2 linked regions of the Oryzias latipes genome follow. Each later gene encodes a partner of the first gene's protein in a complex. Links are inferred from orthologs where the notes say so. Each region holds a gene or a part of one and is shown in the gene's direction. Other genes may lie near its edges.

Region 1 (4,337 bases):
TTGGGTTTACATGCAACAGGAAGGCAAGACACTCAAACCCACTTTTCCAATCTGTCCAGCTAATCATCGGTGGACTTGGGAAGATAGATCTTGCAGACTGGAAGACCAACACCCGCCTGAAGCATTGCACAAGTGAGAGTAATGTGGTGCGGTGGTTCTGGCAGGCCGTGGAGGCCTTCAGCGAGGAGAGGAGAGGACGTCTGCTGCAGTTCGTCACGGGCTCCACCCGCGTCCCCCTGCAGGGGTTCAAAGCATTGCAGGGTGGGTCGAGCACTGGTTCACTCAGTAAACTCACTTAACCGTTGAATCAAAACGAACGCTTTAGTTTCTCCTGTTGATCTGAAATGAAACCAAAAGTCCTTAAGCTGCTTTTAAACACTTGGACTAACTTTGAACCTCAGTATCTTGCTGCACGATGAAGAATTTGTCATTAAGCAGAGCTTTGGCCCAAAATCTTTCCTCCTTCATGATTGGTAGCCCTTCTTACTTAATTTAATTTTGTCAGGCTAATTATTCTCATGGCTATTTTGCTTGTTTATTTTTAAGCCTATAATATTTCTGATCTGCATTTTTAAGTGGGAAAATGCAGTTTTCAAAACAGCAATTTTATGACTCATTTGGATAACTTTAACCCCTAAAAATTAAAACAGAAAAATATTTTTTTAGTGGCAAGTCTAGAGACTAAACGTATATAAAACTTTAAAAATAAACAAAATATTTTTCATGGATCGTTTTCAGTGCACCAAAAAAATCGCCTTTTCCTCATCAAATCTTAGTTATTTCATGTAAAAATAAACCACAAATAAGCAAAACGTGAAGCTAATATTTTAGTAAAATAGATTTTATTAGTTTATGGTTTTAATTCAACCTCAGTTTTAAATATAATTGAGTACTACCATAACTGAGATTAATATTTACTAAGAACTTCAAGTCCCACTCCAATCATTTATTTTAATTTATTGTAAAAGCGTTGCAAGTGTTTTATTTATTCATGATTATGGTGTTTAGCCAAAATCAAAACACTTGTGTTGTTTTCTAGGACAGCTTCTGCAGAGCAGCAGAGGGTCATCAGAAATTCACCTCTGAGTTGTGCAAATTAGTCATTTTCTTTCTGTATGTCCTCCCATCAGAAAAATGCCACACAAACATGTTTAAATCCCCAAAAACTCGATTTTTTTTTATTCTAACTCTTTAAAAAAAGAAATAATTGGAGATTTCTAGCAGAAAAAAGAAAAATGAGACCTTAACTTAAAGTTTTAACCCCTAAAGACTGACATTTCATAAAACATATAGATCTTTGGTTTTATTTCCTCATGGAGACTTTATAGTTACTTTGTTATAAATCTGAAAAAGTGGAATGAAACATTTGCTTTGGCTGCTCTTCTATGGATCGACTCCACTTTGTTCTCACATGTCTAAATGCAACAATAAGTCCTCTGTCTCTAAGCAAAACACCCTTTCTAGCATGTTTTTTTTCTCTCTAAAACGTTATATTTTGAGCCTCGATGATATGTCTTTAAATTTAGCCTTGTCAGTTCTGCTTAAAGCATAAGGAACCAAAACAAGAAAGATTTTAGATTGTGTCTCCAGGATGAATAAAAACCGGATCCATTTGTACATCTGACCTGAAGATCAGTTTGACGCTTAGCGGTTAAGACATGAGGATAAATGTGAAGTGTTGCTTTCTCATGACTGTTTGGTGTAAAGCGGCAGAACTGGCAGGACTCTTCTGTTCTGTTCTGTTCCTGGTTCTAACAAACGTCCAAGATCATTTTCCCTTAAAAAACAAAAAAACCTTTTTCTCCAGAGTGCCGTTTTCATCTGATCTGTTTTCCGAAGAAGAGCAGTGATAACTAGAATGTATCTGTGTAAGGCTCTACAGGTTCTGCAGGACCAAGGCTCTTCACCATTCACTTGATAGACGCCAACACAGACAACCTGCCTAAAGCTCACACATGGTGAGGATGCAGACGGTGCAGCTCTCCCCTCCACCTGCACTCGAGTGTGGACTAAAAAGTGTTTGTGTCTCCAGTTTCAACAGAATAGACATCCCTCCATACGAGTCCTACGAGAAGCTTTATGAGAAGCTGCTGACGGCTGTGGAGGAAACCTGCGGCTTCGCTGTGGAGTGACGTGTCCACCGGCGACTCTTCATACAGTCACGCCTGCACTTGCACACAACTGTGTCACATTAACACAAATACACACACCCTCCCAAAATGAAAAAGCCTCACGAGAACACCCACCGCCCGCGGTTCGCCGTGCGCCTCCGGACCGACGTGGCGGCGGGAGGAAGCACAGCAGCGTGAGGACAGGGCAGAAAAGTATTTTAAACCAATTTTCAACCCGTTTTGGAGAAGCATTTCTACCCTTCAGTTTTAACAAGCTATGATGTCATTCTTCTGAATGTCTAACCACAAGAAAACAGAACTTTTGTCGCACTTGAGTCTCTGGACTGAACCGGACAGTCACACGCCGGCCCGCCAGCGGAGACTTCGGAGCGGAGAACAAAGCAAAGAACTGTCTGAGCGACTGTAACTCATGCTTCACGTCTAACCACTTTGATGTGCGTTTTTATGTCCGGGTGCATGATGGAGAGTGTGAGTTGGTGTGAATGTCGATGTGTGTGTCCAGCATGGCGCTCAAGTTATGCTGTTTAAAAGACAAAAAAAAAAACGATCAAATGAGCCTGATCCTCGGTTTGGCGACCACTCTCATCCACTCTGATGTTTTATTATTTATTACTAAGTGATGACTGACCAAGCTGCTATATGCTCTACGACGAGCTCGTGCTAATCTGTTACCCCTCCACTGCTTGACGCTCAAGCAGTTCAAGCAATCCACAAAGTGGGTTTTATTGAATTGTTCCTTTTTTTAGCATTCATATCACTGCGGAGAATTACTCTGGCAGCGTATGATTAAAGTTGGTGTTTTTATATACCAGGTTACAATAAAGTCAAAGGGAGATTATATTCCCTGCTCTAATTTTTAGAAATCTAACTCAATTGATGTTCTAAAGGTGGATAATGTTCTTTTTTTTTTTTTTGTATCTGAATGAGCCTGAATCATGAAAACATAAAGGCACTTTTGGGAGTTTTTTATTTGTGGCATGTTTTCTAAGCCTTTTATTCATGTTACAATGCCCATCTTGCTGTCTTTTATCCATGACCTTTCTCTGCCCATCTTCTGTTCACTACAGCCCATTAAAACGCCATAAAAATGAAAAATCCCAAAAGAAGGAAATCAGTTTTAAAGGTGGAATAAAACACGGAAAAACCTTTAACTCTGTTGTGGATTGAAGACTGTTACAAAAGCATTATTATGATTTCAGACGACGTTTCTTTCTAGGGTCAGAGTTCACTGTGTAATGGATGCAAAGTATTGTAACTTACAATGTACTAAACATTTATGAAAAAATAAAATGTAAATAAGATTATATTAAATGAATTAAATTGAAAAGAAAATCTAATGTTGGCTTTTTTCATTTTTGATTTAGAAAATAATACAGAAACTGAGGAATTCAACCAACTATGGAATGAAAAATATATTTAACAGCATATTTTCATAGAAAGTGTTTTTTTTTTGTTTTACATTTGTGTAAAAACATTTATTTAATGCACATATTTTTTATTTTTTCAGAATTTTTCTTGTTTACAGGCCCAACAAAAAGCTGATTATAACCTGCTTTCATGAGTTATCAAATGATTCAAATGTTCATACAAACTTATCTGATTTGGAAAACATCATTTCTCCCCAATAATGTGATTTCCAGCTACTTGTACACCACTTGATCAGATCATGATTTTTTTAATCTGTGTGAAAAGCAAGAAAAGAAGAATATGTAACGACAAAAATCACAGTAAATGTCACAGTTTGAATGGAAAACAGATGAGAAGGAGCTTTCTGCACACAACTTGGAGGGCAATCCTTAGACTACAGATGTGACTAATTTATTGCATTAATTAGAACAAAGGTTGGGGGGGGGGCATAACAGAAGGGTTAAGTCTCTACATGCACCCAAACTTTGTAAGAAATTGGACTCTTAAGTGCAGGACTGGCATGCAGGAAACCTGGGTTTGATTCCAAGTGGGTCACAATGAGCAATTAATGGGTCAATGATCATGTTTACATTATCCAGTGAGGATGCTTGGGCAAAACCTCATACCCCATGAGAAACAATGAAACACGTCATGACGTCGCCCGGCCAACCAGGTGCTGGGGAACCACATCCCCTGATGGAAAGTGGGCTACTCGAACAAGATGGAAATGGACTAGCTGCGGGAACAAGGATCTGTTGGAATGCTACTACTCAGACAGGTGACATGCAGAGCAAATGG
Region 2 (4,719 bases), on another chromosome or scaffold:
TTTATAAATGTTATTTTTAGCTTTTAAGGTAGACAAAGAAAACAGATAACAAATAACCGCCGGGCAAATTCTGGCTTATTGCAGGGATGCTTTTAAATTGAAATTGAAATTGAAGTTAACTTTTATTGGCAACAACAACCACAGATGGTTGGTGCTGCCTGTACTTACAGGTTCCTTTTGTAGCATAAATGCAAATGTCTGTCTGATGTTAAAACCAAATTGATTATCAGTAGAAAACATAAAACAATTAAAGTAATCTGAGTTATGTTGATTTCAATTACTATTTGTATAAAAAAACATTTGTATAAAAAAAGAAATGTTTATTTTTTCATCAGTGAATCCCTATTTGCAGAAATAAAAGTTACAAACAAAATACACAGATTTGCATCGTTGAGCACCAGCTGTTTCCAGCATCACTTTAAACTACTAGAACTGTCAGGACACGGTTTCCCACAATGCACTGTTTTGTAGTGATAAGGTGCCTCGCAGATACAAATTTAGTACTGCGCTGAACTGGGTAGGCGCATTGCACCCGCCCTTTTTTCTCGAGATGCTTTTATGATGATTGACATGTGACGAAGCATAAAACTAACCAGCATACACCGCACAGCAGGTGATCTGTGCAGCACTGCGTCCGCCTGGGGGATATCAAACACTATTAGATGACTCTGGTGATCACACATCCTGATAGGCTGAAGACACTTGATTTAGGTAGATTTAGGTAGTCCCGGGAGAGCTGGGACACAGGCAGGATTATGTAAATTATGTAATCCTGGAAACATTTGTTTTTAAATATTTCTTATATATTAAAAAAAGTTCTGCACATTTGTAATTCATGTGAAAACATAGTTTGATTTACAAGACATTCTTGCATTCCTATAAATAATTGCCAGTTGTTAAAAATATATTTTTTTAAAAAGACAAAAGAAAAATGAACAGATATAACTAGTTTAGTGATTTGTGCTGTTCTTTCTTCTTCTAGGGCTGGGGAGCAGAGTACCACCGTCAGGATGTGACCAGTACACCCTGCTGGATAGAGATCCATCTGCATGGTCCTCTACAATGGTTGGATAAGGTCCTGACCCAGATGGGCTCCCCCCACAACCCTATATCCTCTGTCTCCTAGGCTTCTGTGGCCCCAGTGGTCTCTGTCCTCAGCCCTGCGGCTGTCCACACCCCAGCATTTTTGACTAAGTAGCAAGAATAGCAGCTAACTGGTCCCAAGGTAGTTTGCGGTTTACTCCTCACTTGTAGAGTTTTGACGAAAACCCAAACTGATCTGGGACCTGCATCATTGAACAGGTCATAGGTAGGTTTGTTTTGTACTTGAAGGACACCAGAATTGGGCACATTTACAGACTGGGAGAGGGATAAGCAGAGTTAAAAGATGCAACTGGAAATTACTTGATCTTTGTGACCAATCATTTGACCGACCATCACATGCATCATGAGGTGAGCGTCCTCTTAGAACTGGCTTTCACTGTTCCTTCTATCAACTGTTCTGTCATTCTGGAAAACAACTCATTTTGTATCCAAATATTTCACTCAAAACTCAACATGAGTAGTGACAGTAGTTATGGGACCAGGTCACCAAATGTTACAGTCGGTCGATATTTTCCGTGAATTATGTTCTGCAATGGAATATATAAACGGAAAGTTCTTTTAAAAAGTACAGAATTAGCGGGGAATTTAGTTATTGCTAACTAAATTCTAACTAAAATCAGCTAACTCTGGAAACTCAACAAGCTTCTGAAAATGTTTTTTTAAAAATAAAAATGAATCATAACAACAAAACAGCCTAAATAAATCAGAAATAATTAGTGTAAGTGTAAAAAGTAGCATTTAGTTAGAGGCATGAGACTCAAAGGGCAATTCAGTCAATAAAAAAAAAAAGAAATTGAAATCTCAGTGTTGTTACTGTTGTTACATGTTTTCTTTTACGAGAATGATTAAAAAATACTATCATGACATATTTACTATTAAAAAATGTGCTGTGCAGTCTGTTTTTTTTGTTTGTTTTTTTGCGATGCATAGTTTGTTTAGTGTAGTGTTCTGCATTTAGGACTGATAACATGAAACTGCAGCAGTTTGCAGAAAGAAACGTGCCCGACATGTGGCGGCACTGCTGATGCACATCTATATACACGTCACTGTTTAGAACCATGCTTCCAGTGAAACCCACCCACCTTCATGCACTGAGACTCATGTATAGAACAAATGCATTACAGAGAGGGAAACATATTTTTTTGAAAAATCTTTAACCCTGTAACCTGTGTTGTGGAAATATTGTCACTTTTGTTTTGTCAATGAGAGTAATCATGCAAACATTGTTGATGGTGCTCCAAAAATATTTGTCATTGTCACCTTTTTTTTTTAACTGATCCTCCTCACTCTTTTCTTTATATTGTGGAGCATTAAAAACCTTTTTTTTCCTCAACACATTTTTAATCACCCTAGTGGAACTTCCTTTGCCTACTTCCTGGTATTTGCTTCCCTTTTCACCTTTGGCAAACCATCATTGCTGGTTAATGTTAAAGGATTTGCCAATGTGGGAGGCTAATTGGACTGAGTTCTTTATTTTGCGGCAAAACGTATTTGTGCCCATAAGCGTTATCGACATTTTACGAAATTCTCTGCTCAGATAAATTTATTTAAACATATGTTTAACACTCCAATGAAAGTTTTTTTCAGTCACATTTCATTTCTTCATTTTAAGGGATTTTTTTGTTTAGGTCTTGATTTGGTTTCTGACTTTTCTAGCTAGTTTTTTGTCATTTTTTTTTTTCACTATTTGTCTAGGGTCCTTTCATTGTTTTTTTTTTTTCATTGAATTACTTTCCCTTGACTTCCTATACTCACAGACAGCTGAGTTTGGATTTTGTGAAGTGTTGTCCTAATCCTATGATGGCGGTGCAAACAAAACAAAATAAACATTTCAATTTTGAAAAAAATAAAAATAGTGGTAAAAGCATATTGTAACGGGGATTAATGCTTTTGCAAACAAGCAGAGTGGGGACTGGCACGACATACTCTACAGAAATAATAGTGTTTTTGTTTACAGCACTTGAAAATTCCTTCAAATCCCTAATTTTAAACTCTGAAAGAAGGTGCGATCTTTTTTAAATGCAACTATTATCAAATACAGATGAGGTTTGCAACAAAAGTTACAATTTGTTGGATCATATTTAGAGCCATAACTGACTTCCACTGCTGCAACACAGCACAGCAAGTTCAGAAAAGCTGTTTGTTTGTTTTTGTTGGAGGAGCTGAACTAGTTTTCCTTTCGTTGACCTCGGCCCAAAAATGCTGATTCACTGAATATGGGATTGCTTCACATTTCTGCCATTACAGTGTAAATATTTTATTAAATCTCTCATATCATTTTTACAGTGGTTGGAAAAAAAACTCATTAAAATGACTTAAGTAAAAAAAATAAGCAATCAGGTGTTAACCAATGAAAGAGAAAGTGTCACTTATTCATGTCAAACTATGTTTTATTGATGTCTCTTTATCTTGTTTCTTTTCTTTTTTTTAAGATTTGTTCAGTTTTCATCCGTTCTTGCTTTGCTGAACACATAACATTCTTTTTTTTGTATTTTCAACATTTTTGCTTTGTCTGCACTTTCACATGTTGCTTCATTGTCTGTTTTGCTCAATAAGGCAGTTTTGTTCATGAATATCAAGTCTCTACTGGAAAATTCAATAAAACTGTTTCAATAATTGTCGTGTCTGTTTTTTCACCAATTTATATCAATATTTATTTAATCAATTTTCAAATAAATTTACATAAATACATTGGTCATGCACATTTCATCGGCCATTATCCCTTACTTATTATCTAATATATTCATTTGTAGATGTGCCAAAGTTCAAAGTCATGTTGCCTTAATAAAAGGTCAAAAATAGAAAAATTTGAAAATAAGAGGATGTCTGGTCAATAGCCATTCATTTATTCAAAAAATCAAAAGCAGAAATAGCAAATAATTATCTTAAAAACCAACATATGCTAAAGTCCTCACTGTTCAATAGATGGTGAAGGGATCAGAAGCAGGTTAAGGAACTACAATCGACCCAAAAGGAGACAACTTTAATCCAACTTATGGAACCAAAGCTTGACAATTTCGTAGGTTTACTGGTGATGAACACAAAAAGATAGGAAGATGAGAGAAAAATACATGTAGGTCACGATTACTGAGAACACAAGTGCTATTTCTCATTTTTCTGAAAAGCATTTTCTTGATAAAATAACCAATTGATATCTTAAAGCTTGTTAAAGAATGATGGGCAAAGCTCCGAAAGGCTGCAGGAAATCAGAAGAAATTGAAACTAAAGTCTTCATTTATCATTTAATGTATGAAAAGGTTGTACAAATACTGTGAAAACTATGAGCATTTTAACCCTTGTGCTTTCCTAGGCACTTTAACATTGAGAGTTGGGTCATCTAGACCCATTGAACCTTTTTTCAGTGATTTGTGATCTTCACTGGTGTCCATGGATTACATGAAATCCTCTCCACCTTTATCCACCTTTGTCATGGTAGGGAGAACATGGCTGAGTTCTTAGACTTTCACCAGTCATCAGGTTGTTATTTGCTTTTGTCAGGCTTGATAAGTTTCTTTTTCCCTTTAACAGAAACACTTTGCTGCCACTTGCTGGTTCAAACTGTCCATCGACAGGCTGCCTTCTATTGGTTATTCCTCAAATGAATCATGTAGATGC

What was found. The genes of interacting proteins can lie anywhere in the genome.
Region 2: the proteins of smurf1 (region 1) and smad1 are in contact, whole or in part, in an NMR structure (PDB 2LB1), measured with the Homo sapiens proteins. The link is inferred for Oryzias latipes from reciprocal best matches to the Homo sapiens genes SMURF1 and SMAD1. Residues at the interface, in NP_065162.1 of Homo sapiens: Glu313, Val314, Arg315, Ser316, Arg321, Tyr323, Val325, Asp326, His327, Arg330, Thr331, Thr332, Gln333, Phe334; in NP_001003688.1 of Homo sapiens: Asp221, Thr222, Pro223, Pro224, Pro225, Ala226, Tyr227, Leu228, Pro229, Pro230, Glu231, Asp232.

What each region holds. Positions count from the first base shown.
Region 1 is NC_019866.2:19,096,519-19,100,855, forward strand, and holds the end of smurf1 (E3 ubiquitin-protein ligase SMURF1), read left to right. Parts: intron 1-59; coding exon 60-261; intron 262-1,873; coding exon 1,874-1,958; intron 1,959-2,032; coding exon 2,033-2,132; 3' UTR 2,133-3,469; downstream 3,470-4,337. UniProt on the Homo sapiens protein: E3 ubiquitin-protein ligase that acts as a negative regulator of BMP signaling pathway. Mediates ubiquitination and degradation of SMAD1 and SMAD5, 2 receptor-regulated SMADs specific for the BMP pathway.
Region 2 is NC_019859.2:18,371,452-18,376,170, forward strand, and holds the end of smad1 (mothers against decapentaplegic homolog 1), read left to right. Parts: intron 1-982; coding exon 983-1,126; 3' UTR 1,127-3,720; downstream 3,721-4,719. UniProt on the Homo sapiens protein: Transcriptional modulator that plays a role in various cellular processes, including embryonic development, cell differentiation, and tissue homeostasis.